Linked DNA regions of Oryzias latipes. The protein of the gene in region 3 interacts with the protein of the main gene of each other region in a pairwise test. Links are inferred from orthologs where the notes say so. Each region holds a gene or a part of one and is shown on either strand. Other genes may lie near its edges.

What was found.
Region 1: the proteins of ralgds (region 3) and rras2 interact in a two-hybrid assay, tested with the Homo sapiens proteins (2 studies listed by BioGRID and IntAct). The link is inferred for Oryzias latipes from reciprocal best matches to the Homo sapiens genes RALGDS and RRAS2.
Region 2: the proteins of ralgds (region 3) and kras interact in a two-hybrid assay, tested with the Homo sapiens proteins (3 studies listed by BioGRID and IntAct). The link is inferred for Oryzias latipes from reciprocal best matches to the Homo sapiens genes RALGDS and KRAS.
Region 4: the proteins of ralgds (region 3) and ras-related protein Rap-1A interact in a two-hybrid assay, tested with the Homo sapiens proteins (3 studies listed by BioGRID and IntAct). The link is inferred for Oryzias latipes from reciprocal best matches to the Homo sapiens genes RALGDS and RAP1A.
Region 5: the proteins of ralgds (region 3) and ras-related protein O-Krev interact in binary tests that used the Homo sapiens proteins (3 or more experiments, as listed by UniProt). The link is inferred for Oryzias latipes from reciprocal best matches to the Homo sapiens genes RALGDS and RAP1B.

What each region holds. Positions count from the first base shown.
Region 1 is NC_019861.2:19,398,834-19,404,525, forward strand, and holds part of rras2 (ras-related protein R-Ras2), read left to right. Parts: intron 1-1,890; coding exon 1,891-1,978; intron 1,979-2,815; coding exon 2,816-2,918; intron 2,919-4,287; coding exon 4,288-4,396; intron 4,397-4,947; coding exon 4,948-5,066; intron 5,067-5,605; coding exon 5,606-5,692. UniProt on the Homo sapiens protein: GTP-binding protein with GTPase activity, involved in the regulation of MAPK signaling pathway and thereby controlling multiple cellular processes. Regulates craniofacial development.
Region 2 is NC_019864.2:21,724,436-21,731,056, reverse strand, and holds the start of kras (GTPase KRas), read right to left. Parts: upstream 4,429-6,621; coding exon 4,318-4,428; intron 3,075-4,317; coding exon 2,896-3,074; intron 2,673-2,895; coding exon 2,513-2,672; intron 765-2,512; coding exon 645-764; 3' UTR 640-644; intron 1-639. UniProt on the Homo sapiens protein: Ras proteins bind GDP/GTP and possess intrinsic GTPase activity. Plays an important role in the regulation of cell proliferation.
Region 3 is NC_019867.2:33,325,053-33,330,998, reverse strand, and holds part of ralgds (ral guanine nucleotide dissociation stimulator), read right to left. Parts: intron 4,995-5,946; coding exon 4,917-4,994; intron 2,853-4,916; coding exon 2,766-2,852; intron 2,694-2,765; coding exon 2,661-2,693; intron 2,578-2,660; coding exon 2,456-2,577; intron 2,104-2,455; coding exon 2,008-2,103; intron 1,923-2,007; coding exon 1,727-1,922; intron 1-1,726. UniProt on the Homo sapiens protein: Functions as a guanine nucleotide exchange factor (GEF) activating either RalA or RalB GTPases and plays an important role in intracellular transport. Interacts and acts as an effector molecule for R-Ras, H-Ras, K-Ras, and Rap.
Region 4 is NC_019863.2:11,455,196-11,461,141, reverse strand, and holds part of ras-related protein Rap-1A, read right to left. Parts: intron 4,833-5,946; coding exon 4,764-4,832; intron 4,576-4,763; coding exon 4,519-4,575; intron 4,091-4,518; coding exon 3,950-4,090; intron 1-3,949. UniProt on the Homo sapiens protein: Counteracts the mitogenic function of Ras, at least partly because it can interact with Ras GAPs and RAF in a competitive manner. Together with ITGB1BP1, regulates KRIT1 localization to microtubules and membranes.
Region 5 is NC_019865.2:21,778,694-21,785,372, forward strand, and holds the start of ras-related protein O-Krev, read right to left. Parts: upstream 4,190-6,679; 5' UTR 3,964-4,189; intron 2,570-3,963; 5' UTR 2,425-2,569; intron 608-2,424; 5' UTR 577-607; coding exon 520-576; intron 1-519. UniProt on the Homo sapiens protein: GTP-binding protein that possesses intrinsic GTPase activity. Contributes to the polarizing activity of KRIT1 and CDH5 in the establishment and maintenance of correct endothelial cell polarity and vascular lumen.

The DNA.
Region 1 (5,692 bases), on a different chromosome or scaffold from region 3:
AAAGTCCCACTTCCTTCATCTTATGCTCTAATTTAAAAGCGTTCCAAGGGGTCTTTTAATTAGGATTATGCCGCTAGCCCAAAAACCTGTGTGGCTTTCTAGGCCCGAGTTTTCTTTAGAAATTCACCTCTAGGTTGTGCTTTGTTGGTGCAGAGCAACAACACCCCCCCCCCCCCCCTCCTCCCCGTTTCTGAGAGCGCTCTGTTTACACGATCTCTCACTAGCTTACAGCCCCAACCTAACGTTACCAGAGCAACAAAAATGACGAGCATTATCGGAGCTATCCAGCCATACAGTTTAAACCATAAACATTTTTAAACCATAAATAGATCTATTTGTCTGCAAGTGGATGCATCAAAATAGAGCCATCTGTGGCCTCCTTAATCACAGAAGATGCCAACGTGACAAAGCATGATTTTCATCAAAGTGGGTCTTTAAAAATTACTATACTTTTGAAGACTAAAAAAGCGTTAGTTTTTAAAAAAAAAACAAAATATTGACTTTAAAAGCCTGCTACAGCAAATGTATACTCTGCAAACCTGTCTTCACAGGATTTAAATGTTAAAATTTAGTTTTTTTTAATTAAATTCCTAAAATCTATCATTTTAATCTTTTATATTATATTTTATATATTTTATTTCTCCTCTGGAAACGGAAGAAAATCTTTTAGTAGTAAAACAATACAAATAACTTTCTTTTATAATAGTTTGTTTGGAAGTTTGATCTAGTTTGATGACAACAGTATTTTATAATGAATTCTGTTAGGTTTTGTTTCATTTTCTTTTGAGAATCTTTGACTTTACATATATATTTATATACCATTTTCCGTAAGAAAGAACTTGTAGTAGTCCTAAATTGGATCATAAATGTGGCTGTCCCCCCCCCCCTTTTTTTCTCTGATATGTTATTTACACATTAGACCAAAGTTTTAATTTACACTAAGGGCAGCATCAACTCATGTTGTTGTGCCCCCCCCCTCCTTACTTCTAGATAACACCCCATCTGCATTGTGAAAGTCAAAGTGAAATGCTGCTCATTGTTGGTCTGTAAATGTGTGTTTTGGTGTAATTGCTCGGTGTCTTGGGGTGTTGGTTTGACATTCCGGAGCACTCCCCTCTGCTGTCACCACCTAACAGGACCCTGGAGGGGAGGTTAGGGGAGGGGGGGGGGGCAAAACATGGGAAAAATCTCAAAAATGCGCGACTCCCCTGTCTTTCCTCTGCTCGCCGGCCCCACCCTTCCAGTGTGGGTTACTAGGAGACCGGGATTTACAGAATCAAAGCCATGGAGATGAAATGGAACGCCACTGTTGTAACAGAGGAAACGTCTTATTAAAGTGTTACTAACGTGAAAAACGGCCTGCTGAGAAAGACGCAGCACTGACTGGTGTGTGAGCGGAGGGGTGGAGGAGAATATTCACTTCACATTTTTTATGCAGGTGTCTGCAGACGCTGTGTTTACCTCCCGTCTGCAGAATGCCCGTAAAGGCAGAGGTCAACGGGAGGGTCTGCTAAGGACGTCTACTCCCGTTTGGGAGCAGCTCGTGCCGATCTTTCTGTAGCAAAGCAGAAATGATGAGCTGGAGTCGAGTCATTTAGATTTTTTGAATGTTTTGTTGATGAGTCATGTCATGCACAAAGAGCTGCTCACATCACAGCTGCAGGGAATGAACATCGCAGGGTGTTAAAGGTCTTCATCGGGGAAAAGAAACCTTATTACTCGCTAAAGCTAGTTTTGTCAGTTTCCTGTTGGTATAGAATACCGCTTATCCTAACCTCCAACACCCCCCCCCCCATGAATAGGCTGTAAAATGTCAGCAGGTCATAATTAGGTTTGTGTGGAAACAGACTGCCTTCAAATAATCCGTGTCTTGATGTGTCTCTCTTGCAGTCTTACTTTGTCACCGATTATGACCCAACAATTGAAGACTCTTATACTAAGCAGTGCGTGATCGACGAACGGGCGGCGCGGCTCGACAGTAAGTCCTGCTTTGACACGTCTGCAACACTGTTTGTCCTTTATGCCCATGTAGATGAAATCCACCCTTTCTGGCAACATGAGAAGTCATATGACAGCTAATAAACTGAACTGACGAGTAGTGTGGCAGAGAGAAAAACATTGCCTGAAATTGTGTTTATTTTTTTGTCCTTAAGTCCCACTCCAATCATCTTTAAACATTCATTTTTAGCCCAAATCAAAAACCTGTGTGGTTTGCTAGGACATAGTTTCTGCAAAATGACAGGAGTTAATTAGGAATTTGCCTCTGAGTTGTGGGCAGGTCAGCTGGGGTGGAGTAAGCCTGCTCCTTTCCCATCATCCATCTGTTTTTACACTCTCCTGCTAGCTTACAGCCCCCACACCCCAACCTAACATTTCCGGTGCAACCAAAATGGCAACTAATATTGGAGCTATCCAGCCGTACAGTTTTGAGGCAGAAAAACAAAGACGTACCTGGATCTATTTGTCTGCAAGTGGATGCATCAGAATAGAGCAGAGCAGAGAGCTAGTGTCACACCGATTGTACCGCCTACATCACAGCGTCATAATTTTCTCCTGATTCACAACAACTTTAATAAAGAAATACTCAAATGTAATTTTAAGCTTCATTTTCCTTAAAAATATCCTCCATTGGGAGAGAATGCTGCATAATCACGTTCAAATTACCAAAAATTCCATTTTCATGGGAGTGGGTATCTAAAAAAAATTTGGTTGTGCCAAGTCATGACTCCTGCCGACAAAGCTGACTTCTTCACTTTTTCTGTTTGTCTGTCCGTGTGTGCGTTTGTGCGCCGGTGCATGTGCTTGTGGTGCGCAGTCCTCGACACGGCTGGACAGGAAGAGTTTGGAGCCATGCGAGAACAATACATGAGGACAGGGGAGGGCTTCCTGCTCGTCTTCTCAGTGACCGACAGAGGAAGGTAGGTGACAGTTTTTTCGCCATGTGGTAACAGCCGCACACACTTGACTCGCTGTTCGCCGCTTTTCTCTATTGTACACGATGTTTACGCTTCACAGTCGCATGCTACACCCTCACTGGTTCGAAACCCCATGCTCGCTGCACTGCCACTCTCACTTGTTGCTGCTCTCGTTTCCGGACCCTGTTGTTGTTCTTGTTGTCGTTCTCCTTTGTTCTTAAGACTTCCTCTCGTACTGTGCCCTGTTTAATCCACCTTTGCTTTCGATTGAAGGCCAAAGTAGAGTCGGAAAAAGGAAAAAAAAAATCAGCTCACAAGGGGTTCTGGATTTTTTGATGCATGCAACTTAAATGTTCCATCTCTTAAAAGTTTGATCTCTTACTTGGGACTTCTTTTTTTTTTAAGTTTGTATGCACTAACAACATGGATGTATATATGTACTGAAAACACCGTCAGGCACTCACAGTTCTTTAACCTTTTGAACCCAACTCTGTCACTTGCCTTGTGTTTCAGTTCAAACTTGTTTACGCTCACACTGTGTTATTTTAAAGTAAAGATTCAGAGTGTCACGATAAATAAACTGTCCCTTTTTTCAGATCCCAGTTCGCCATGGCAACAGAGAGCGCCTTAAAAGCATGCATTCCTCCACCTGCAAATGCAGCAGATGTGCTGGCATTCTTTTATGAGGATCAGGCAGCTTTTCTGAAGGGGGAAAAGGGAGATGATCAGAACGATGTTCTTCTAGGAGCTTATGTTTAATCAAATTGTGTGATTTTTTTTTCACCAAAAAACCCAAAATTGGATTGTCTAAAGTCAATGAAGTTGGATTTACAAACAATAGTTTTTCTACGCTCTTGTTGGACCGTCTCCCGCTTCCCATCAAGTGACATTGTGTCCCTCAGCAGTGCTGGGAGCTGCATTCCCTCGTCCCCACCCACAACCCCCTCCCAGTGTTTATGTTGTAAACACTCTTTCCTTCCTCCATTTATATTAGTCAAGTCTTTCCAGATTTACTATGTGCTCAGCACGACTGGAATGCTATCCTGGGTTTGTGGTTGCATTCTGCCTCATCTCCCCACCCCCAGGCTGTCTGACATATTCTTTTTTTTTTTTTTTTTTTGCCCATCAAATCTGCATTACAGTGGGGCAGCAGTCGGGTCAATTTGCCTAACCCCCTGCCTTCGATAAACACAGTTTATGTTCCACCCCAACTGGTGACACTTAGGGCTGGGCCGCGCTTTTGCTTTCCAGTGATGACAGTGAAGACTTCATTTAGCGGCGTGGATGCATGTACCAGTGGAAAGCATTTTATGGCTTGTTTGTTTTGGAGGACCCCGCATAACGCCTGTTTTTATTTTTTATTTTTTCATAGCTTTGAAGAGATCTACAAATTTCAAAGACAAATCCTCCGAGTCAAAGACAGAGACGAGTTCCCCATGATCCTTGTAGGAAACAAAGCCGATTTGGAGATACAAAGACAAGTAAGTCTCCAAGAACTGAACTCAAATGATCTAATGACGAACAATTAAAACATATAGAAATGCACCGTGCTTTCATTTTTCCCCTCTATGTCTTGTATGGTTATCTTGCTTACAGTAGAGTCAGCCCAGCTGCAGGAAGCTATCATACAGCAGTTTGTGACTGAATAAAAGAGGAAATAGAAACTGTTGTGTCAAGAAAGCAGAGAGAGAAGATCTTGATTAAATAATGTAAATAATGAACTTTTTGGGGGAGTCTGTTGGTGCACATTAAAGCATTTTCCAGCAGTGAATCCACAGCACCTCCTAATGGTGAAAGAGGGACACTGCGGGCAAATCCTATAGAAATGGATCCAAATTTGCTTAACTAAGTTTTTTAAGCCAAATGCTATCCAGGCAAGATGGATAAAGAGAAGATATTCTTATTTTTTGCTAAACTTTCTCCATTTTAAAAGTACAGTATATTGGTTCCTGAATGCATTAGTGGAGGGGACGGGTCCTTTCCTCTCAGTTTAGGCACATATTCACGATTCTCTCGCTGTCTGTTACCTCAGGTCAACCAGGAAGAGGGTCAGAATTTGGCGAGACAGTTAAAAGTCACGTATATGGAGGCTTCAGCCAAAATCCGAATGAACGTAGACCAGGCTTTCCATGAACTGGTTAGAGTAATCAGGTAAGATTCTTACAAGTCAATCTGAAGATGAACTCTAGTTTTTTTTTGTTTATTAGTTTTCATTTTTTATAATAAAAACATGTTTCTTATCATCTATCATTACAGGTAGAATGCGCTATCCCCTCATGTAAAAAATAAAAAAATTTAAGCAATTGTTCTCATCTGCCTTTTAAACATTTTAGCTTTTTTCTAGTGAGTTTTTGTTTTTTACATTTTAAATACAGTTCATACAAAAATGATTAGAAAATGTTGAACTGCAAGAGCAGCTCCACCTGCTTCATTTAAGAATGGAGATGCCTCCAGGGAGTCTGATGTTCTAGTTTCCTGTGATGGAGCAGTCAAATTTCTATAAGAACATTTTCAGTAATTCATGTTTATGAATGTCACCCCCCACAAACAATCTAAGCTGTGTTGAAAATACACTTGGTAATCATAAAATGAGATAGGATATCTTTTGACATAAATACGGAAACAAAGTGTTTGCGGAGATGGTCGGGCTCATATGTCCTAAACGTTTTGCTCTTCCGTGACCCCTGCAGGAAATTCCAAGAACAGGATTGTCCACCCTCGCCAGAACCAACGAGAAAAGAGAAAAACAAGCGGGGCTGCCATTGTGTGATTGTCTG
Region 2 (6,621 bases), on a different chromosome or scaffold from region 3:
TTTGCTTTTTTATTTTTTTTAAAGACATGAATATTTCAGCATGATTTAGTCCCACATTCACCATTAAATTTTTTTTTTTTTTTAAAAGAACCTACAGCCGCCCAAGATGGCTTAGCAACCCAAAACCATGTACACAAGTTTCTTTCAGCACAGAAGGATATTTTCACACTGGTAGTTTTCCCTGAATCTGGTAAAAACGTGACCAAACACTTGATTGGATCGATTCCTTTTTTAGGCCAGGAGTCCTTTAGGAGGTCGTTTTACTGCTGAAACAAGGACTGACAAATGCTCCTCCATGGGGAAGGGATAAGGCAAAAGAAACCCATGAAAAAGAGTTCAGACATCCATGCAGAAGCACACCAGCTGCGCAAATCAAACTTCCCCAAACTTGATGGATGAACCCAGTGTGAAAATGACCTTAGACAATAATCCACCACAACACATGGAGACTGAAAATAGAAGAAATCAAAACACGTCAGGCTCGTGTTAGAACCTCACCACAGTCCCAATAAAAGCCAGCAGGTTAGCTTTGACACCACATGAAGCACCAGCTTTGGCTCAGTGTCTTCCTCCATCCCTCGTCCGCCGTTCCCCCCAACAACACACAGAGCTGATGGGTGCGCGGCTGCGTACACTTACCCCTCTCACATCACAACACACTTTTTAAGGTTGACACAGCGTGGAGTCTTTTCTTCCTTGCTGAGCTTACTGAGCCGGTACTGCCTGATCTCCCGTACCAGAGTGTAAAAGGCATCTTCCACTCTCTGCGGTATAAGACACAACTCTCCTCAATGGCGAGGAATGTAGGAGCACATTCTTCATGGTGTCAGAAATTTTAAGATAAACATGGGGATACTCCTGAAATGCCGGATTTGTCTTCTCTCCAAACTCTTAAAAACTCAAAGAGTTTGATTGGATGAAAACTGAGCAGCAGCTTCTGCAGGCTTGGAAATGAGTCTAGTTTCCTCCCCATAAAACGTAAAAAAATGAAATATATAAAACCTAATTAACTAACTATTTTCTATTCCTGGAGCTTTTGCAGAGGAGACTGCAGAGCTGTTCTTAAGCAAAATAATGACTGAAGTAAAAGGGACTATGGAAATTGGATTTCTTCTTGTATTCCAAAACTGTTGAAAAGTATGGACATTTGTCCTGAGAACTCAAATAAATCAACACAATTTATTTAAACAATAATACTAAATAAATAACAGCAATGCAGGGCTGATGCTCCTCTCAGCAATAACCGTGTAGCTCTGTTCATATCGGTTGATTTAGAGGCAAAAAAATATGGGGAAAAAAAAATCCACAGCTCTGTGGGATTTGCCTTTTCACACAAAAGTAGAAGTATGCTGTCAAAAATAAATCAAACGATTGATATGAAGGGCCTTATAGTTTTAGAGATACCATAAAGAACTGACATGAACTCACAACAAAGACAACTTTATTCTATTGCTTAGCACTCCGAAAAACAGCTATTTTTCATCCTATTGAGTAACACTACACAGATCATGTCTTAAAGTGGATCAACAGACTGATATGGGAATGATGATGCAGTGTAACAGACAGCAGTTGGTTGATAAAGCAGTAAAATAAACACAGTTATTGTGTTTAGGCTGCAGTTGGCGCCTCCTTAAAAATCAGAGTCACATTCCAAGCCTGCAGGAGATTAACAACTGGGTGGAATATCACTTTATTCAAACTGGACACAAATTAAGGGTGCATGCATTCAGGATTTTCCACAGAAGTCAGAGGAAAAAAAATAAACATTTGAGGGGGGGGCAATTGACTCCCAACAAAAGTAAAGTTGCAATCAGACAGGAGCGAAACCGTATGAACAAAAGGTACGGGACACTCAAGAGGGAATAGGTGAACAAAGCTGCCAGGAATTAGTCACGGCACCAATCATTTCCCCACACCAGAAAAAGTGCTGTTTGGCTGCAGCTCACAGACCAGGATGAACACGTTCACAGATCACTCCATGAGCCCATCTAATGGCAAAGGCAACGATCACGACACCCACCACAGGATGCAACACCACAGCTAATCTTCCAACACCCACAAACAGTGACCAGCTCGCTGAAGAATCAAACCTCTCAGAAATTACTGACAGTTTGCCCTTTCATGCAGACCCCTGATTTGAACCGATTTGCAGATTATTTACAAGGATGGTTTCAGGTGGGCCCAACTGACAATGTCAATTCGTCATTTCATGACGTAGCAGCATGCAGTGATTACCTTACCTCACATAAATAAAAATTCAATTAAAGAGAGATGATTTAATGAGGCTCAATACATTAGCAGGGACATTTCCCTCCAACATTATGATAAAAAGGGCCATTAGAGACAGTGAATGTGACACAAATCAGCAGAAACGTGATTCAATCACTTATCTTCAATTCATTCGAAATTTTTAAAAGACACTTTTCTAAATTACAATATCCTAGTTTTTTTTCTGAAATAACATTTTATTATTTAAAAAAAACATGTTGCATGGAGCCGAGGGCAGACTTACCTGTCTGGTTTTGGCAGAGGTTTCAATAAAGGGAATGCCAAAGCTGCGTGCCAAGTCCTGAGCCTGCTTGGTGTCCACCGTCCGGGTCGGGAGGTCACACTTGTTTCCCACCAACACCATGGGGACGTCCTCAGAGTCCTTCACCCGCTTAATCTGTTCTCTGGACAGTCAAACACATGAACTTTGTTTAACCATCAACCAAATTATTCCAAATTCCACACATAAATAGATTCAAATCAGACCACAGATCACCTTTGTTCGGTGATGAATGTTTTATTTTTGTGCTAAAATAATTACTTACAAATGGACACATTTTTATTTTGAAGAAAAAAATGACAACAGTTCTGGAAGACTACTGCCTGCCAGCTTGTCTTTCAGCTCACCTATAGTGGTGAATGTCTTCAAAAGACTTGGTGTTGTTGATAGCAAAAACACAGAGGAAGCCTTCCCCTGTCCTCATGTACTGATCCCTCATGGCGCTGTACTCCTCCTGACCTGCAGTGTCCAGGATGTCCAGCAGACACGTCTCTCCATCAATTACTACCTGTTTTCTGTAGGAGTCCTGAACAAGAAATAAGTTTCAAATGATCAGAACTCTGTAGAAAAGTGAGTCAAGTAAACAAAAAAAAGTTGTTTTTATGCTTAGAGTACTTTAGAATATAAAAATTGTTTCGCCATTTTGCAAAAATGTACACAAACTGGGGAGTCACCAAATATTTATAAAAAAACAGAAGTGATGATAAATATACAAGTATATTCAAATGTAGTTTCACAATACTAGGCAAAAGTGATCACTTTTAATTTTAGATGGTGAAATAAAGATATAAATAGTCAGTCAGTAGTAATACATTTTATTTGAAGAAAAAAAATTACAAACAAAAAAGGCAAAAATGTTTTGGTCTGACATAATTTGGATAAAAGGCGAACAAGGAAGTAACTACAAAGTTCTAAAAATCTTTTCTTTTTAGTAGGAAAAAAAAACACCAGTGCAATTTTTCCCTTTTCACTATGTTGAAGGGAGAAAAAATGGCCAAGAATTTAAATGTGAATAAAATTGAATATACAAAAAATGTGACATAGTTTAAGAAACTCAATGGCTTTGTTTCATAATTCATAGTTTTTTCTGCTGAAATGATTGTCATGTAGCTTAGAATCTTAACATAATTGTACCACTTAAGCAGGCCTGCATTGATGATTATTTTGTCGTGTCTTCAAAGTTGAAACTGGACTCCACTCAATTATTGTCCCTTTCTGATCAATTTTGCAGCAGGCCTCAAGTTACACTGAAGTCCCACTCGGTGCTTCACTTTTCTTTTTTTTTTTAAATCGCACAGATGAAAATAGCTAAAAAGAGCAGCGCTACTGTTCTTTTTATCGAGGTTAACATGGAGTTAACATGGAGTGATTTAGTATGAACAGTTTAATTTAGAGTTCTTTTAATTTGAATTATTTTTATTGACATGCATTTTTTAGGTCAGACAAACTCCATGTTAACCTGGATAAAAAGAACAGTAGCGCTGCTCTTTTTATCCGAGTTAACATGGAGTTTGTCTGACCTAAAAAATGCATGTCAATAAAAATAATTCAAATTAAAAGAACTCTAAATTAAACTGTTCATACTAAATCAGTTGGCTCTAAGAAACTGTGCAAGAAGCCAAGTGTGAAGCCATTAGAAAACCCGTTTGGTGTCTTTTAATAGTTAAACTAGTAGAACCTGTTACAACTCTTTGCTTTTTCTTTTTTTTACACAAGTTTTATTGCTAATGCACTGTCAATTTGTGTATCCATACACAATGTTCCTTTACCTCAATGGTGGGGTCATATTCATCCACAAAATGGTTTTGGATGAGCTGAATGGTAAGCGCGCTCTTGCCAACACCACCAGCTCCAACCACAACCAGCTTATATTCCGTCATGATTCACCTGAGGGACCAAAGTAAGAACATCATCAAGTAGTACATCCCCAATTCAGCGGAACCCTTAATGGCAAATGATGCACGTCTCAAAATTATGACACTTGGTTTCATTGTTATTGTCAATTTTGGTTTCTTTTCTCATACTTCTAATAATTTGCAGACAGTTTTAGGGGACAGTCATCTGATCATCTCTTGCTAAAGGAAACCTGTAAATTGACAGCTGCAATGCAGTAAAAATCCAAATGTCCCAGAAAGTTTGAAAAAATGCAATCACAAAATACAGTTTGTTGTTTAATCTAAACAAAACCAACATATGAACCTTAAATTTAAAGACTAGCTGTCATAAAATGCTAAGCATGTATATTAAAACTCATCATTATAGAAAAAGGTAAAACAAAACAGAACTTCTATAGAAAAGTGACCTGAAATAAGCAGGTGGTGAGCTTTGAGAAGTAAAAAATAGATAGTTTTTCAGTTCAAATCAAAGGTCTGAGTCCAGCAACACATTCAGGGCTATTTTCTGAGTGATAATCAGACAACAGAACCTAGCTCCAGGCAGAAATCTATGACATTACATTAAGGCTGTAAAATTGACAAGCAACAGGGAGGCTCTCTGCTGTCTGACTTTTGTGGAGCAGCATCTATCAATACTGGCAGCTGGCCTTTTCAAAGACTACAATACAAACTCCTCAAAGCCATAGAAGAGATGCACTAAATACTGCTTCCACAACTAAGATTACCGTGGCTGAAAGAGTCAAAAAAAAAAAAAAGGAAAGCTATGTAGGAACACCACGTTTTTAAAGCCGGTTCAAACTTTGTGAAACTAGCTATAAATTAGAGGAAAATGTAAGTTTCATTTTAGAAACTTTTAAGAAATAAATTAGGCTTTTTTTTGTTAACTAATTATTGTATTTATTTTATATTTTTATATTTAAAGTAGAGGGGGTATGGGTTATGCCATTTTTCTTCCTTAGTTTAAAGGAGGCAAAAGCAGTCGATAGTAGTGTTTGTCCTTTGAAGGTTTGTGTTTGAACAGGAAGACAAATCAAACGCTGTGGATTCTGAAATCCCATCCTGGGAAGTCACAAAATTGTGTACAATCTTTTGTTAGGGGTATATTTAATTCAAACCCAACGCGGAAAGAAAAAGCACTCAAATTCACCGCTAACACAATGATGGGATTAATGGAGATTGATTAGCACCTATACAAATATTAGCCTAGCGTTAAAGATTGATACCCGTATGAAGCGGACGCGGCTTTTCAACTAAACTTTTGTGTATTTTGGTTTTGTTGAAGCAGGTCGGGACAGCCACGTTATGTCTAAATTAAAAAAAAATGTTACATTAAAATGTCAATTAAATCCTTATCCCGTATGAGGAAAACCTGCTAGCATAAGACTAACGGCTGTGCTGTTAGCCGCATTAGCACCGGAGCTTTCAAGCAGCCCCAAAAGTTGGTTTTTATTCGCTTTAATGAAACAAAGTAGTGTGTTTTAATGAAAGTGACTCGTTAGTTTTGCCTTGTTTGTACTAAACCCTGGAGGACAACAGTTAAATTTAATGCAAAGTTAAAAGGTTGCACATTTTGAAGGAGGCAAGCTAGCATAAATCTGCAGTGCAGGGCCACACTGTAGGTTAACGACTGGGCGTAGTTTGGGCCAAATTTAACACTCCTACTGCAATGTTGTCGCACAAGAGTTCACATCACATTCAATTAGTTGTATTTCAACTCAAACGTGGAATCAATTTTGATTAAAATAGTAAGGAAACAAACACGCACATGAAATTAGTGGTAACCGTTTGTTTTACCTTTAAGTGACTGGAGTTCCGCGTCTGAAGTGGCGACCGATTAAGTTGTCAAGCAAATAATCCTCTCGTTTCGCACGATCTCCGCATTTCCTACTTCTCACCAAAATGCCGGCATTTAAGTCGGTCTGACGTGGTTTGGGGAGCGGACGAAAACATGAAGTTGCCAAATTAATCGATTAAACTTTCCATCTGATCCAGCGCCCGGCCTAGCTGCTCCTTCTGGCCTGCGTTACGCGAATATGGGCGGATACCAGGGCGCACTTTACCCAGAAAGCATCGCTGGAGATTTCAGCCGGTCCGCATATCTCGACTGTGTCGCAACCTGACACTTAATGCGCTGTGTTATGTCATTTGTTGAACACGGTTGTTGTTTTAGAAAGGTGA
Region 3 (5,946 bases):
TACAAATGACACACGCAGGTTTACCAGTAATTATCTGTAATATTTATTCTGCCTCTCATCAGTTTTCAAAGGCTCCGTTTTCAGAATCAACTTTTCTCTTCAGCATCGTGAGGACTAGCTTCAGAATAACTTTCAGCATCATAAGCGCAACTTGATTGACGGAGGAGTGTTTGGCCACAAGATTGGATACATAAAATAAAAGCGTTTGAGTGATCAAGATAAACAACTATATACGATTCTGATGGCACGTTTTTGAAGTAAAAAAAAGAGAATGTAGTGAACGTCTATAAATATTACCCAAAAATTTCTTTAGAGAAGGAAAAAATGGTAATATTAAATAGGAGTAAAACAAATATCCTAAGTTATATTCTGGTATATACTGAGATTATGCTATTATTGGACTTTTTTTCTTCTACCATTACAGGAAAAATTTTATCCTTCCACTACTTTACTTTACTTCAATTTGTGTGTCTGATGTGCTACTTCCAGCTTAGTTTGTGGTCAACTATTAGTCCCAAGAATTTAACTTCTGTTACACTCTTGAAAGTGACATTCTTTTTTTATTGCCAACTCCACATTGAAATTGTATTTACCAAAAGAAATTACATTTGTTTAGTCTAATCTTAGTGATAGTTTGTTGTAATCCATCCATGTATTTTATTTAGCTCTGCATTTACCAGATTCCCAAATTCCCTTTATTTGCCTGTAGAATAATATATTTGTATCGTTAGCAAGTTATGTTTCTTAAAGGTTTTTTTTAATTCATGTAAATATTAAATAGTAACAGTCCCAGAATTGCACATTGCTGATCACCGCAAATATTCTAGCATCTGATTTCGCTCCTTCTAACTTGTCAAATAGTTACATAGCTTTTGACCTGACTTTAAGCTATTCTTATCCCATATTCTTGTAATTTACCAAGTGGGATGTCATGATTGAAAGGGTCAAATGGCTTTTTAGGTCCATAAAAATTCCAGTCGCATATTTTTGCTTGAAGCAGTTATTTCCTCCACAGCATCTATGATAGTCACTAAGGTTGATCTGTTTTCTTTAAAACCATATTGACATTCATCAATAATATTATTCTTATACATAAAATAAACTAATTTATCATTGAATAATTTTTCAATAATTTTTGAAAAATTTCAAAGCAGAGAAACATTTCTATAGTTGGTTTATAGGTATTAGTCTCTGTTCTTATATTTATGCGAGGTTTGTAATAAGTCATTGATGTCTTGTTGATGTCAGAGGTCAGAGAAGAATGACCAGACTGGTTCCAGCTGATAGAAAGACAACAGGAACTCAAAGAACCACTGGTTCCAACCGAGGTCTGCAGAAGAGCATCTCTGAAAGAACAACACGTCCAACCTGGAGGCAGATGGACTACAGCAGCAGAAGACCACACCGGGTACCACTGCTGTCAGCTAAGAACAGGAAACTGAGGCTACAATTCACACAGACTCACCTAAACTGGACCATAGAAGATGGAAAAACTTTGTCTGGTCTGATGAGTCTCCATTTCTGCTGCCACATTCAGATGGTAGGGTCAGAATTTGGCCTCAACAACATGAAAGCATGGATCCATCCTGCCTTGTATCAACGTTCAGGCATGGTGTGGGGGATATTTTCCTGGCCCACTTTGGGCCCCTTAGTACCAGTTGAGCATGGTTCCAACACCACAGCCTACCTGAGTTTTGTTGCTGACCCCCTTTGCACCCCCACTTACCTTCCTCTCATGCCCCTCCGGTGAGTCTGACAGAAAGCTGACGTGAACGTCTTCCAGGTCTGAGCCACTGGAGCTGACTGAGGTGACGCTGAGTGCATCGCCGCCATCCCCTCCGTGACACGGCCTGTAGTGTGAGTGGTCAAAGGACTTTGAGTGAGAGCTGTTGCTGCTGCAGCTGGCCTCTGTTAGCTGCCGGCTGAAAGATATTAGGAGGAGGGAAATAATTCTTTAGTGAAGTGATGTGCAACAGAAATCTGATAGACTATCCTGAAATAATTTACTCGCTCCACCGCTTCATGATTCCTCCATTCTTTTTGCCTCTCAGTGTATTGCAGGCCGACTCCGACAAAGGCTCAATTTCACAAGACAGCATGTAGCTGTGGGGGGAGGGAAAATTATTAATTTATGTAGTCACAAAGCCATTTTTTTCAGTCAGATCCATTCAAAATGGTGAATAAAACTATATTTCTATCTGTCTCTAATGCTGAGATTATACCAGAACAGGACAGCCATTCTATGTACCGTGGTGTTGAAACGATTAAAAAAAGATTCAACCAAAGAAATTTTAGAATGATTTACATTAGCAGACCATTTATCTTTGACTTTTTTTTAAATATATCTTCTTTTTATTTTTGTTTCTTTATTGCTTAAACTTAGCGGATCACAGTTGATCACTGTTGGGCTCCTTTTGTACTGATGGAGTAGCCACCAAGCTACTGATCAACTGACCTTTCTGCCTCGCTGAGCTTCTCTGCACTGGCGAACCACTCTCTGAAGTGGCTGTCCTGAGTGAAGCTGTAGTTGTTGGAAGCCAGCTGAAGCAGTTTGATCTGAGCAATCACCTCAAATTCCTGCAAGCCCAGAAACAGAACCATTTTCAAAGTGATTGTCATCACTTCTGTAAGGAATAATAGTTCCCATGAAATTTACTCACCTTTCTTCTCTTCTCAAAGTTGATCAGACCACCCTGGAAAACCAGATCAGGAACTTAGGCAATGACTGAGACCAAGCTAAGATAAAAAGAAACGCAGGTCCTTACCTCAGTGTAATCCTTCATGGCCGTGTCCATCATCACCAAGTCCGTCAAGAAGGTTCCCAAATAAGGAATGGTCCCCTGCATTACCCCCTGTTAACAAACAGGACATGGATGAAGTTTGAAAGGACAGAAGAACACAATTACCGTCTTTTTTGGAGTTTAAGTTTCAGTTTTTTGCGTGGATTGGCTTGAGGTGTGACTTAGCAACAACCACTGGAGGGCATTGTAGTTGTGTGTCTGAGTATTTGCTACTGACAGTAACGCAAAAGGAAAAAGCACTGCTCAGTTTTACGCCGCCGGGCTTGGCGGAATTCTTCCAAAGCAGCAGAGGCCAAAGAAGTCCATAGATTTAGTGATTTTAAGTCATAAAGGGTTTAGTTGAATTGCGTTCTTGCTGCTATGGTCTTTTGAATAAGTGTTCATATGTGGCACAATATACTAGATTCCTCCTATGTTTCATGAAGCTAAATAAGCATCAATGTGTTACAGTAATGAAGCGTGCGGGTATTCAGTCTATTGTTGTCATCTATTCTGTTATGACTTTTAACATTACAGTAATTACTGTGTTATAGAACCCAGCTGATTACAAGCCGCACCCTCCCAATTTAATGAGGATTAACCACTTTTTACATACACAAGCCGCATGTTGTAACAATTCAAGTAGCACGTCACTGAGACCACAGAAGTCTCAGAGAGGGGGGAGTAACCTGTAGTTTAGCTTATTTATTTGAACACACCCACATCTGCCAAACAGCAGGGACCTCACTTCAGTTAACAGCTCCCTCACTTGTGGTGTGGAAATTCACACTCAGATTCCCCACTTCCCATGAGTCTTAGGGGTTTAAGGCGGGGCTAACCCCCGGTTCGTCAGACTGTGTTGTAGATTGAGGATGTATATGTTCTGAAACCGCGTGCGTGTTTAAGAAGGAGCAGGGAGCTGCAGCGGAACGCGAGAGCAGCTCTCCCCTGTAACATGGCAGCAATGTGGAAATAACAGGGCTTGTTAAAAAAACACACAAGTAAAAGAGAGTGGCAGTGACTTGTAAGCGCGAGCGGCACGTGCCTATGCGCACTCTACGCGGCTCTGCGTAACGGCGCGTCCACCAGAAGTTTCCTTCCACAAAAGTCAAGGAAACTTCTGGCACGCAGCAGACCGGCTTTTCCAAACCTGTTGGTGATGGTGGATTTTTTCACACTGCTTTTAACGATTGCTTTTAACCTGAAAGCTGCATCATATTCTAGTGGCTGTCATGTGCACGTTGGGTCTAATGGCACCAAAGGATTGTGGGATGCGGCTGGGCATGGATGTTCCTTTTATTGCACCATGACTTAAGTGTCTAACAGCTGAAGTGAGGTCCATGCTGTTTGGCAGCTTGAGTGTTTCTCAAAGCAGTCACGCTTGTTGCTGGACATAGAATTACGCAAGCAGTCTCCCCTCTGAGACTGCCGAAGCGCTCCTGGTGGCCAATAAATAAAATCATAAATTAGCCGCATCATTGAATAAGCCGCAGGGTCGAAGGTTCGTGACAAAAATAGCGGTTTATAGTCGGGAAAATACAGTAATTGTCCGTTCTTGCTCCTGTGTTTTGTTAAACTAATGTCAACCAAATGTGACTTATACTTTAGTGCAAATTTTTCGTCTTTATCATATACAGATACATACAGATAAAGGTTAGCAGACTGCTTCAGAAAAAATAGAAAATAACTGGGATGCATATTCAAACACTGAACTCCCAAAACTCCACAGGCATCTTATTTATTTGAATTGAGCTGATGAGTTGTGGATGATTTTGCGTCTATGATGCATCCACTTAGCTGGACGTGGACTGATCTGTGGTAGCATTTGGCTGGGACTGCTTCTTCTCCTGGTAGAGGTTGGAGGGGGAAGGGAATGCAAGCTGGCTGAGTTAAGTAAGTTCCTGGCTGAGTCTCACAGGTGCTCACTATTGAGCTGATAGTGGGTGTGGCCTACTGGTGGTGCTGGATGACAACTAGTATTTTCAACAGATACTTACAGATAAAGGTCAGCAGACTGCTTCAGAAAAACTAAAAAATAACTGCAAGGGCTGCATGAAGATGGTGCTGTAGGAAACAATCTTCAATAGTTCTGAGAACAAAGCAGGCAGGACACTGACCTCCACCCATCCACCTTACCAGGTCTCTCTGCTGCTGGTGTCTCCTCTGTGCTCGTTTGGGGTTGATTTCTAAAGTTGCAAATTTGGAGGTTCCTTCCTACAAGAAAAAATCCCATTTGCACTTACTAAAAACACTCATGGAAGAACAGTTAACAATCAAATTGTGGTATTAGATGTGGGGGATCAAGATCAACGCTATAAAACATTGAAAGACATATCCGCTCTCATAAGAGTCCCACAGCGTTTGTCATTCATACAGTCATACAAAACAAAGAGAATCAAGATATTTTCGAAAAAGAAAAGGCAGAACATTTAGCTCTACACTCACTGGACACTTTATTAGACACACCTGTCCAACTGCTCGTTATCACAAATTTCTTATCAGCCAATCACCCGGCAGCATGTATTCATGTAGACATGGTCCAGACGATCTGCTCCAGTTCAAAGCAAGCATCAGAACGAGGTGATTGAAATGACTTTGAATGTGGTTGTTGGTGCCAGACGGGCTGGTCTGAGGATTTCAGAAACTGCTGATCTACTGCGATTTTCACCCACAACCATTTCTAGGGTTTACAAAGAATGGTCCTAAAAAGAGAAAATAGCCAGACAGTAGCAGTTCTGTCGTCAGAAATGTCTTGTTGATGCCAGAGGTCAGAGGAGAACGACCAGACTGGTTCCAGCTGATAGAAAGACAACAGGAACTCAAAGAACCACTGGTTCCAACCGAGGTCTGCAGAATAGCATCTCTGAAAGAACAACACGTCCAACCTGGAGGCAGATGGACGACAGCAGCAGAAGACCACACCGGGTACCACTGCTGTCAGCTAAGAACAGGAAACTGAGGCTACAATTCACACAGACTCACCAAAACTGGACCATAGAAGATGGAAAAACGTTGTCTGGTCTGATGAGTCTCCATTTCTGCTGCCACATTCAGATGGTAGGGTCAGAATTTGGCCTCAACAACATGAAAGCATGGATCCATCCTGCCTTGTATCAACGGTTCAGGCTGGTGGTGGTGGTGTCATGGTGTGGGGGATGTTATTTTG
Region 4 (5,946 bases), on a different chromosome or scaffold from region 3:
ATATCTGCTTTAACCCCGAATCAACTCATCACAATACAAATTTCCACAATCATTTTAATATTATGGAACAAAAACAGGGAGTGGCATACCCAGCTGTGCAAAGGACAGAACACAAACTTTTCCTATTTTGTTTAGGCATTCTTAAATGTCAGACAGAAAGCTGAATACATGAAGTGATGAAGAGGCCTCCATAAGATTTGAAGGTGAAACTGCTGCACAGAATCTTTCAAGTCTTGTCTTTTTATCAAAGCTAACAAGTCACTGTTCAAACTTTTCACCTTAGAATGAGATTCTGTCGACGTGACATTCAATCACATACATTCCACACAAATGGAAAACCTTTTTTTTTTTTTTTACAGCTTTCAGCCATCCAAAAGACATACGTAGCTACATGCAACTGGAAACTGAACAAGTTTAGACTGATCTGCCACATGCTTCCTCCAGGACAGCAAAGGGGCTTTCTATCCATCCTATCAACTCCAATGGTGTGACAAAAGGCAGACAGTTAGAGAAGGCTTATAAAATGTAAAATTACCAGCTGACTAATCAAAAATGACCAGAAACTGCTGAGAAAACTTTGGTTTGTCTTTAATAGAGACGTTTCTAAAGAAAGCTGACAGAGTGCTGATCTGTGGTTACTGGATCTCTTTAAACAGACAGCACTTCTCCTTTTGTTTATTAACACGTTTACAGTAAGAAGCAGGACAAATAAAAAGGTGGAGCAGGACGGAAACCTTTAGTCCAGTTTAGGGCTTCCCTATTACAATCTGCAAACACAGAGCAGTGAGGGTTGTCGGGATGCGTCTCATCCTGTCTGCCGTTTCCTGACTAACTATCTTGGGAGAATGCTGGCTCGTAGGAAGTCATGGCGGCCCCGCCCAGCCGGGATAACATTGCTTTCCTTCCTGAATGTTCTCCAACATTTCAGCTGTATTCCATGCTTCAGCTGCTCAGTGGAATTAGATGATGGTGTGTGATTGTGCAGTGTGTGACATTTTTGTGTGTTTAACAGTTTAGTTTACTTGGGAAATGTGAGGAGGGGGGGTAAAAGAAGCGAGGCATCAATGTTTGTCACAGTTCACAAGACGTTTCCATTTTTGCCACTGGCCTCCAACAAACAAACAATTACCTAATGGAAACTTTTACAGCACAACAGCCATCAATAAAATATCAGCCAGGAGAAATCTATTTGTGGTTGGCCTCCAGTAGAAAAAAAACATGAATTTACGCTCAGAAAGTCGCATCTTTATTACCTTCTTCTCTTCCAGAAGTTATATCTAGGATTGTCTTGTTGATTAAAAAAACACTTGTTTTTTTGTTAAGCGATTACTGTCTTTGAGACAAAAAAAGCATAGAATACATTTCTAGAAAAGTTTTCTCTCTGCATTCCTGCATTTGAGAATCGTGACAGGAAACAGACGTGTATACAGTGAGCCTACAGAGGTGCCTGCTTGATGTTTGATATCCAAACAATCCTTCACTGAACTGCTGAGCAACACTTCTGTATGGGCTGCTAGCAAAGCAATGGAGTGCACTGCAAGCACGAGCACTCAGCCAAGCCGGGACAAGAAACAAGGATGGAAAGACAGGAATGCAGAGATGGGGGAAAAATAAGGTTTGTCAGCAGGACATAAGGAAGCATTACCGTAATTAAAGAATCCCCATTTTCATTAGATTGAATTAAAATGTCATTTACATTTAGGAGGAGGTCCCACAAAAATGCACAACATCAAAGTATAGAATGAGTAACGAGCCATTTTGTCTGAGTGACTCACAAACACAGAGATAATACAATGATGGACACGGGCAGAAATAGCAAAGTCATAGGATCTCTTACATAAGAACTGTGGAAGGAAGTAAAGGAAGAAGGATTTTTAATGCTGATTATTATTATTTTTACTCCCAATGCCGTCCGTCAGGAGACACATATGGTGGTGTGGGCAAATAAAAAAAATAAAACCTGAATGATCTGTTTTAACTTTGCAATGGTCTAGAGACTAAACCCAAATAAGCAATGGGTCTTTACAGATGATTAAAAGAAAATATGCTTAGAAATTCCTCTGGTAGAGCATTCCTGCTAAGACAAAAACAAATGTTCCAGCTGTTTTAGGTGTATTCCCAATTCACGTCCGAGTGGAAAGCTGACAGAGCAGCCAGACAAGCAAAACTGTTGAAAATAAAGTCTTTTTAATAATAACAGAAAAGAACATGTTTTGGTAGAAAAGGTAAATGAAATGCTTTCTTGCACGCCATGGATCCTCCAGCCCACATGTTAGCTTGAGGCCAATGTTGGTTTGTTAACCACAAAGACCGTAATGAAGCACCACAGCTTTACAACCTAGGGTGCTTTTGATGAGCTGAAGCTTTCCTTGCACATCATCCCTGACAGTCCAATCACCCAAACAGAGAGCCAGACCACAGTGAGGCCACAACGAAGACCATAAAAACTGGGCAAGAGCTGGAGAGGCCATTAAAAAATAAACAAACAAAGATGAGAACTAGCAAAGATGCGGTACGAAAGGAGCCAGGAGGACAGAAAGAGTGGAGCAAAACTCAGCCAAGAGAAAAGTTATACTGACGGCTAAAAGGGAAGAGGAAAACGAAGTTAGGAAAGGAAAGGGTAGGGGTTACGGTAACATTCAATCCCTTCAAAGATCGCCAAAAAAGGGCATCTTAGATCCTGCTGACGCATGATCTGCTCCTCCAAAAAGGAGGAAGAAAGTTAGTTGATAGCTACTGAAACAAACATTTGGAAAATACAGAGATGACAGCTGGTTTTCCAAAAATAACATTGCCATAGTTCTGCTTTATTTGAAATTAGGAGCTTACTCAGATGTCACAAGTCAACTGGAGGATATTTTCAAAAGGGACCATCAGGGTTTGTACTTTGTTGAACAATGAACAAAAAAAGCAAACCAAAAATAAGAAGCATCTTATTTAGAGCTGATGCTTAAGAGGAGTACATTTGTTTTCATTGTTGGAAAACTCAAAGTCAATTTACAACTCCTGCCTCACTCTCCAGCATTATGCTGGGTTCAGACTGAATGTGGCTTTTGCATCAAATTGACCTTCTCCCTCTCTGTTTGGCCATGCAGCAAATTTGCTCTTATGGTGTGTAAAAAAGTGTGTTTATAAATCACACAGAAATTCACTTTAGGTCAATATGCATGTGGAAGGAGCTACTGCTATACGTTTTGAAGTGCCTCATTGCTACATTATGGAAGGCATGGATGATGTTGAAAGAGTAGCTTGGATTTATTTGTTTTGGACAGCTTTGCAAATGTGCCAGCAAGCATGTCCCTAAGCTTGGGTTCATGAGATCATTCAACGAAGGTCTCAGTACGTGAGTTTCGCCATGTAGGAGCTGTATCTGAATGACTGACACAACTGTACTTCTCTAAGCCCAGTTTGACGATTTGTCCATGGAAGGAATAAAGTAAAAGAAGAACCTTTTTATTCTTGTCTCAAATATCAATAAAAATAAGAAAAAACATGAAGTTTGGGAGGAGTACAAATAGCAGCGTTGAGCGTCTCCACCATGTCGGTTTCTGACTGATCACAACAACACGTCACTGCCCAGTTTTTTTAAAGCAGAGTTCTTGATTGGTTGACGTGACATAAATATTCCCAAATGTTCAGGTAAAAATTTTTTAACATGCTGGAATTCCACTGCACGACTGTTGCTAAGTTTACATTGACTTAACATTGAAACCAGCCGCCCCCACTCAGTGTAAATGCGGCATAAGATAATGAGAAAACCAACTGGTATACAAAGTAAATTTGTGATTAATGTATCTAAATAATGTTAACAACACTACAATAATCAATACCAAATATTTCAAATGCCTGCTAATTCTGACAAAGTCAGCAGGATACTGGAGGTTATTTTGAGCTGATTGGGAGGAGTTATAAAAGTATGGCAAGTACCCCCCATGAAGAGTACACTCACATCCTCTGTGTCCTTTACTCGAAGAATCTGTTCTCTAAGGTCTTGAAGGTCGTTGAAGGTGGACTGTGCTGTGATGGAGTATACGAGGGCAAAGCCTTGGCCATTTTTCATGTACAAGTCTCTCATCGCTGTGAACTGTTCCTACATTTGAAAAGAAAAAAACAAAGAGGAAGAATTAATTCTGACAATTTCCTTATTGTGTATAAACTCTGGTTATTGCCTGTGTTGGTATCTTGAAACTTGAGATTTGACATTTTGTTTGAGACTTAAGAGATCAAACAAAAATCTATTATATATCCTCCAAATATTATGTAGTACTAATAAAAAGGCTCATCTTGCATGAGTACAGCAGGGGAGGTTTAGTGCCCACTGCACCCAGATGAATAAAAAGGGTAAACAGCAACACTTGGATCATGTTTAAATTCACTTTGTTAGGAGATTATAAGATTTGAGAAAGTTTATTTTCTCTGACATTTTCTGACGTCTGAAAGTGTTTGATAAATGCATTCAGGAGTATGTGAAGAAGAGGGAATATTTACAGAGATGTCAATGAGGTCAGGTTTACTTACTGTGCCGGCTGTATCAAGAATTTCAAGCATACATTGCTGCCCGTCTACCTCCACTTGCTGAAAAGAGGAAAACAAGTGAACATGAAAATATGGCAACAATTCAAACTGTTCACTGTTCAAATGAAATTCAGAAAACTCTAAAAGTCAGTAAAGAATTAAATGAGTGGGATAAACCAGATTATTTTCTAAAAGAAAGCATCGGCAGACAGCTTAATAGCATTTACATCCCATGAGGACACACTCACCTTTCTGTACGAGTCTTCTATTGTAGGGTCATATTTTTCCACAAAGATTCCCTGCACAAACTGAACTGTCTGCAAGAGAAGGCACAGACAAAATCTACCATCAAACAAACATGCAGGTGCCATGTCTGCTGGTACAAACAACAATTCAAGGATTTCTTTAACAAGTCAGGACCTGGAATCAGGAAGCTTGGGGATATATATGGCTGACATTCCTTAAAAAAGGGGAACAAATTGGTAACAATAGCAGCGTTTTAGTGTCTGGTACGACTATAAGTTAATATGAAAGATCATGTATAAACAGTCCTTTCTTAAAAGCACAGTCCTCTGAAGCAAACGTACACATAGGTGTTCTAAATTCATCTGACAGCACCTTAATCCTACTAGCTCAGGGGATAAGCCACACTCTGACACCTGGTAAGTAATTAAAGTAGGGCATCTCTAAGTTTTAGACACATGTCATCTTTAAAGACCTGATTTCAATAACAGCTAGACAATTAATATTCCTGTCATTTGTCCCATGATAACTACAGAACAATCTGAATGTTTTCTTAAGCTGCCTCACTGTATGTTGCTAAGGATACATCAACAAAGATTGCACTGTTAAAAAATGGATTATGAATGTTTTACTCAAAAGTAGAAAGAGACAAAAGAAGGTATATCAATACAAGGTTTTTTAAAAGGATAAAGTAGTTGTTTGGATAAAGGAGTTTCAAATTTGCTAATAGAGCTTTTCCCCCTCGCATTCTGTTTCCAAATATTTGTATTGTCATGCAGAAATTAGTTGTGATACATATTAAACTAGATCAATAAGGCCTCAACTAACATTTTCTTTATATGGTAGTTTATTCAGTTTGAGCGCTGTTTTCTGAACACTGTTCAGCAAGTTGCCAAAACTTCAAATGTTTTGTTGGTTATCCTTCTGGTTATTGTTAGGAAATTAAAACTTAGCTCATGTAGCGATCACTATTTTTGTACCAGAGTTTTTACCAAGAGTTTCCAAGCCTAAAGTTTCAGCAGAACCTCTTGGTGAATATAGATGCATGTGTCCATTTACTTGCAGGAGTCGTTTCTAACGTGTCCACATTCATTTAAACACATACAATTCGTCACATAATTGTAAAAATAAATTTCATAAAAACAACACAATCACATAAACATGTTAACTGGATAACTATAGCAGGCT
Region 5 (6,679 bases), on a different chromosome or scaffold from region 3:
CCACAGATACTTCACATGTAACACACACATTTTTGTCTTGTAGTCCTAAATAATCATAGAAAATACCAAGTCACTGTCTTTCAAATTATGTCACGTACATATTTTCCCTTTAAGGTTTGCACGAGTTGCACAAAAAGGTTACATTTCTACAGTTTGAATAGTTAAAAGACTTGTCACTTTAATATTACCCAGTGCCTTTAAAGCTACCACAAGAGAAAACTGATAAGACAGAGAAAAATCCTTCACCTTTTCCATGAATCAGCAATAACATTGAAGCCATGACAAGGAAAATGATGGAGTTTCAGTCAGGAAGTGATACATTTTATTATGAATTTTGGATTAAAGGCTCCAGAAATATAAATTATCAGCCGATCCTTGGGTTCAGAAAAAGTAATGCTTCTTTTTACTCAATTTGCAATTTGTCCTGTTTGATGCTACACAAACACAAAATGCTATAAATATTTTGAAAATACGTCTGCGTTCCACGAAAGCCTAAAATGCTTGATGGTATGAACTCACCAGTGCAGATTTTCCCACGCCTCCTGATCCCAGCACAACCAGCTTGTATTCACGCATGGTGGGCAACTTCACCGGACCGCACAAGAGTCTGAGAAAGAATGGAGGAAGGATGAGGAACTGAGAACAGAGTTTTCTACTACAGAAAACAACGTCTTTCATCATTCAAATGTGCCATCTTTGTTCAGAATGAGGGCACAGAAAGAAAATGGAAAAATATTTTCAGAACTTCACTCTGTCAAATTAGGTTTCCCACCTAATCCTAAAGATATTTATCCAAAATAATAGACTGAGTTACTTAATGGAGATATAAACAAATAATGATCAATCAATCATTGGGGAAAAAAAAGAGTGAATAGCAATTTTAAAAAAAGTCTTTCAAAATCTCAAGACCATTAAGTGAATAAAGTAAGAAAACAAGCCGGTTTTAACACTTGGCCTCTAAACTGTGGAATAAAAGCTGAAGCTAGTGCGTCAGTGTTCCAGAGCTCCAAATAACTTCACCTCATTACAATACAGGGGAAAAAGGCCACCAAGAGTGACCTATCATCAGCTTCATCAGCTCAACACACTTTCAGATCGCACACACGGCCTGGAATTAATTAGCAGGAGAATGTTCAAGTGTGACACGCTTCACACAAAAATAGGCATTTTCTCAAATCAATCAGCTGGATCCCAATTTAGGAAAACCTTTAGTCCACACAGCAGGAAGAACCAAAGATACATTTTGAATTATGACTTATGAATTACAGCAGTAATCTAGTAATTTGAGAATCCAGATGACAAAACCGATTTATGTTGATAAGTCCCTCTACATCTGGGGATTAGGGGTCAACAGATTCTCAGGTACAATATGACAACCGCTCCAGAGAGACTGAGGGTCGATGGGGAGCCAAAAAAAGTGCTCAAACTACGGTAGTCCTAAAGAAAATCAAGAGACATGGAAGGATTGTGAATCTCAAATACTCTGTTTTTTTCCGAAAATCAAAAAAAGAAAACTCAAAAATAGTAATTATATCATGATAATGACATTAAGTTATAAAATTAAATGATTTATTTATCTTTCACATCTATTTTGACTTAAAAAATGAATTGATTTAAAAAAAACAAAAAACAACCCTAATTCCATGAAGAAGAAAAAACAATAAATCAATCACAAATATGGAAAAAAAGGTTTTTGTTCATCAAATTTAATTAAAACATCATGATACATATAAAAAGTATTTCTTTATTTACCATGTCAGAGAACATCTACAGTAAAGCATCAAAGTACATTTTTGAATCTGAACCTGATGCAGGTCTGCTGTGATCTTTGTCGAACATTGAGACAGGCGCTACATACAGCTCTCTGTCACAGTCGGCCGACATTAGCAATTCTAACTCTGATGTATGAAGGACAAACAGAAACCCGCAGTGAGAAACAGACACACACAAAGAGCCATTGTGATGACCATCCTTTACTCAAGTACATACAAACACAGAAAGGAGATCAGAGAAAGCATGCATGCCCACTGCGCCAATGTCATTACTGGGGTGAGGGGGCGTACCTCGAGGTGACGCCAGCATGCGCCTGATGTGCTTGTTAGCTTAGAAGTGAATGCATGAAGAGGGGAGGAAAAAAAATCACTCCGTTTAAGATGTAAATTTGTGTGGGTGTCACAGCCTTTGCCTCAAAGCCTTTCACATCAGATAAGCAGCATAAGCCTTCCTCTGACAAGATTTGAGGCTGGACTCAAACAGCTGAAGTAACAAGCACTTCATTTATTCGTCCCACTTAGGGCTATGAAAATTAAAACGCTTCCTCGTTTTTGTTAGCAGCTAATGAATACTTCAAAAATGAAGGAATAGATGAAAGACATCACTTAATTTTTTTTTTAAATATAGTAATAAATAAATAAAATGACCTACTGTTCACAGATATGTCGATAAGTCCCTCTACATCTGGGGATAAGGGGTCAGCAGGTCCTCGGGTACAATTATGTCAACCGCTCCAGAGGGAATGAGGATCAATGGGGAACCAGAAAACACCAAAAAAAAAGTGCTCAAACTAGTCCTAAAGAAAATCAAGAGAAGATTTATGTCAGGAGTACATATAAATGATTACAGATTGCATCCATCCTATTATAGTGTAAAAAGTCAATCACATCTGTGACTGTCACTTTAGTGCAAAAAGACCTTAAATCTCCTTCCACAAAGGAACTTAAAACTAAAAGGACTGTAAAGGTGTTTTACAGATCAATACAAAAAGCAAGACAGTCCAACAGAAGGTCAACATCTCTTGATGACAACTACGGCGTCATGAAAAACAAAAGTTAGATAACAGCATTAAAATGCAAATAATCTAGTTTTAACCCAACTTCTAACCTGTAGAAACACAAAACACATAAATGCATACATTTGGCTAGGGTTGAATGGCAGTGAAGCTAAGTAGGTGACTCAACCCCTTCAGTTCAATATACAGCAGGTATCATGTGTCATCCCCGGACGCTGTAACTGCGTTTTACCTCGACTCAAATGAACAGGAAGGCGCCTGGTTCGAAACTTGACAAAAACTTTCTTCAACACGACTTTTTCTTAACGAATCGTGGTTTATGACAAGGCCGTGGCGCACTGTTATCTTTTATAACCGAAAGCCGCTAATAAAATTTGTTTTGTTTTCGAGACAACTTTTTAGCGGAGTTGGTTTCGAAAGGAAGGGTGTGGCTATTAGTTCCCCATTGTAACAAACGCTCTAACATCGTGTAAAAGTTACCCCAATCGACTGACGACTTTACGTAAACGCAAACACGAACTGGTCACACATTTTACCAGACAAATTTTAAACATTACCTACAAAAAGTCTTACAACTTACGTATTAGCATTAAGTTAGCATATAAGCTAACTAACGTAGCTGGAGATCAGGGTTAAACTCCGAACTACAGAAACGATAAAACTAAAGATATTGTGGCCAATAGACAAACAAGTTAACAAACAGATTAACACTAATTCACCGCTTGAATTTATTTTACAACTTTGTTAATGTTCCATAGCGGCTCACTAACTACTTCGCTCAGACACCGAGTGCTAAGTTAGCTTAGGGCTGAACTCTCAGGGTGTCACTACTTTACCGAAAGTTTTACTTAAAACCCCTTTAGAGTTACCAGAATACATACACAGAAATGAGAGGTATAAATAAACGTTCGCTTATCTAAATCACTATAAATGTTTGCACGAACAACTCGTCAGAATCCGCGGTTAGCAACCGTTAGCTTTTTAGTCTTTTAAATTAGCCTCTCAGCTAAGCTATTTACCAACAAGCACCAGTCTTTACCAGCAGCTTTACAAGTTGTCCGGGTTAAAATACAATAGCTGCTTACTGTATCCTTACTGAACTACTGCGTCATAATTGAATTAATTACTTCGAAATAACTGATTTCAACAGTGAGTAGAAGCCTGATGAGACTCACCGTGTTCCGCTACGTGTGCGCTAAACGTTCCGAGCCTGTGGATGTACGGAAGGTTCAGCGGGAGCCGCTGATTGGACCAGACTCGGCCAATTATGGCAGCGCTCTGTAGAGCGGTCACTTCAGCCGCGCGGCTCCTTCTGCTCTTATCATCACATAGGAGCAAACACATGACATGAAGTCTGTTAAAGCGCATGTGCTTACATCTATGCAGCAGGGCTCTAGACTGCCGCTAATTTAGTCGCGACTAAATTTTTCAACGGTGCGCCTAAAAAAAATCCATATTCGCACGCACCGGTGCGCCCACACATTCTGTATTGTAGTGGCCGTGGGGAAAAAGCATCATCTCCGCGAGTCTGAAAGTCTCGTTCCTGTATGTGTGTGTCTGTGCAGGTGTAACACACTTCGAATAAGAATGGTTGTTTTTGTTGATGAGAATGTACATCTGAGCCGTTCAGTTTGGGTTCGTGCTGGCGTCACCTGGAGCGGATCGTGAAAAAAGTCTGTAAAAATTCTTAAACATCGGAGCTTTAGCTCCTGCATTTACAGTATTTCCAGTACCGTAACTTTCCCACCTTTAACGCATTGAAAGTAATTCCAGTGGACTCTTGAGCGGAGAAAAGCAGCTTTCCGCTGATGTGCGCAGCACCGTGCTGTAGTGAAGTGTTTACGTCATCAACGTACATCAGCGGATACCGCAGCGGAGAAAAAAGCATTGCAGAAAAGTGGAGCCGTGGCTCCATACGTTAGTAATGTGCTGCGTATATCGGCGCAAAACCAGAAAGAAATGCCGCTTTTCTCTGCGTCAGAATCAGCGGATTCAAGAGGATCGCGAGAACGGTAAAATATTTACCTTGTATGTCAAAAAATAAATAAGTTAAAAAAAATGTTATTTTCGCTGCAACAGTTTTGATGTTAAAGGATTAACTACGCTGGCCCTAAAGTTCAAATCACATCAATAAATCACTCAACGCAAAAACATGACAATTTAAAAAGCAAAATAAATAATAAGACATTAAGTTTTAGAAATCAAAACAAAATTTGAAAATGACAAAATGAAATGTTTTAGAAAACAAAAGTAATCTTCAGAAAACAAAATGTTAGAAATGATGATTTGATGAATGATGATTATGGGACATAGCTGATTGGATGATGACGTATGTCCATCATATTAACAGTTATTAGACATGTAGCACCTCAAAACAAAAATATGAATGTTACTGCTGACCCAAAAAAAGCTGCTGCTGTCAAAGAATATTTTAATTCAGGACAAACATATGAAAAGATTCTGGATCTGCTCTGCACTAATCACAAAACTTTACGTTTTTTTAACTGAAATTTCAGCTCAGTGATGCAATTATTTTTTATTCATTTTCAAAGCGTTACCAGTTGTCTTTTAACCATGATTTTTCAGTTTTTAGCCAAATATTTTTTCTAAACTGTCGTTTTCTTGGACATAGTTTCTGTAGAGCGGCAGTTCATTACCTCTGAGTTGTGGGTGGGAATGTTTGGACTGGAGTAACCCTCTACTGACATTTCATGGAATCTCTGGTTACACTCTGTCCCACGAGCTTACAGCCCCTCACAATTACAACCATGGCCGGCCCTCCCTATACGCGAATTACGCAGCCGCGTAGGGCCCCCGTCACTATCAGGGCCCCGAAGTGGCGAAAAAATAAACAAAAAAGACCCAAACCTGGCAACCAATTTCATAGAATTTACGTACCAGCGTGCGCTCTGAATGTTGTGCAAGAGAAAGTTGCCTGCACTTTTGTGATCCCCCCTTCAACACACCTGAACCAATCTGGCAACCCAAATAAGGACGTTACGCCCCTCTTAGCAGCGATTGGTCAACATCATTGCATCTGAGCCTGGCACACTGTGTATTTACGAGCTCATTTTATTTCAATAAAGTTGGGGAAAAGAAAAAAACGAGCACATTTTGTCACACTGATCAAAGCGACAACAAGACAACTTCATGCCATTAGTGACTTTATCCATCATTAGGAGCTGAAAAAAGATGAAGAATTCAACATCAGTCACAAGGTAAGTTTGGAGGATGTTGGGGCCGTATTTTTTACATTATCCAGTATTTTTGTGCAGCTGCGCGATTTACGTAAAATACTAATCGATCCGAGGTGAAGATTGCACATTAAGATTAACGACCCCGTTTTTGTCGTAATTTCCAATGGAAAACTCGAAAATAATTCTGATACCCAAGTTTCCAAGATGAGGTCGGACATGACCTTCTAAAACAGCTGAGAGCAGAGAAAAGTAAATAATGATGATTATGGTGGCTGAAAAATGTTTAACTCACGTTATCGTATTGGTTATTGTTTTGCTACAAATATTTAGTGCGTTCTGCATTTTCAGCTTTATGTCATTAAAAAAACTGCTGTTTATTATAGCAGGTCAGGTATTCCGACTTTTTCAACATTGAACGTGTCTTAAAATCTTGCATTGGCATGAAATATGGAGAATCAAAACTGCCAAATACATAGGAAATGAATGTTCTCATAAAATGATAAACAAAATAAATGTACTAATTTTAAAATCATGAACATACAAAATAATTGATAAAGACGTGTATAAATGCTTAAATTTCCATTTATACTCAAATTATTGTTCACATTTATTATTTATAAATGGGTAAATTTTTTTCTTATTTGTATTTTGCAGTTTTGATTCTACATAATGATGATGTTTTGCACAGTTCCGT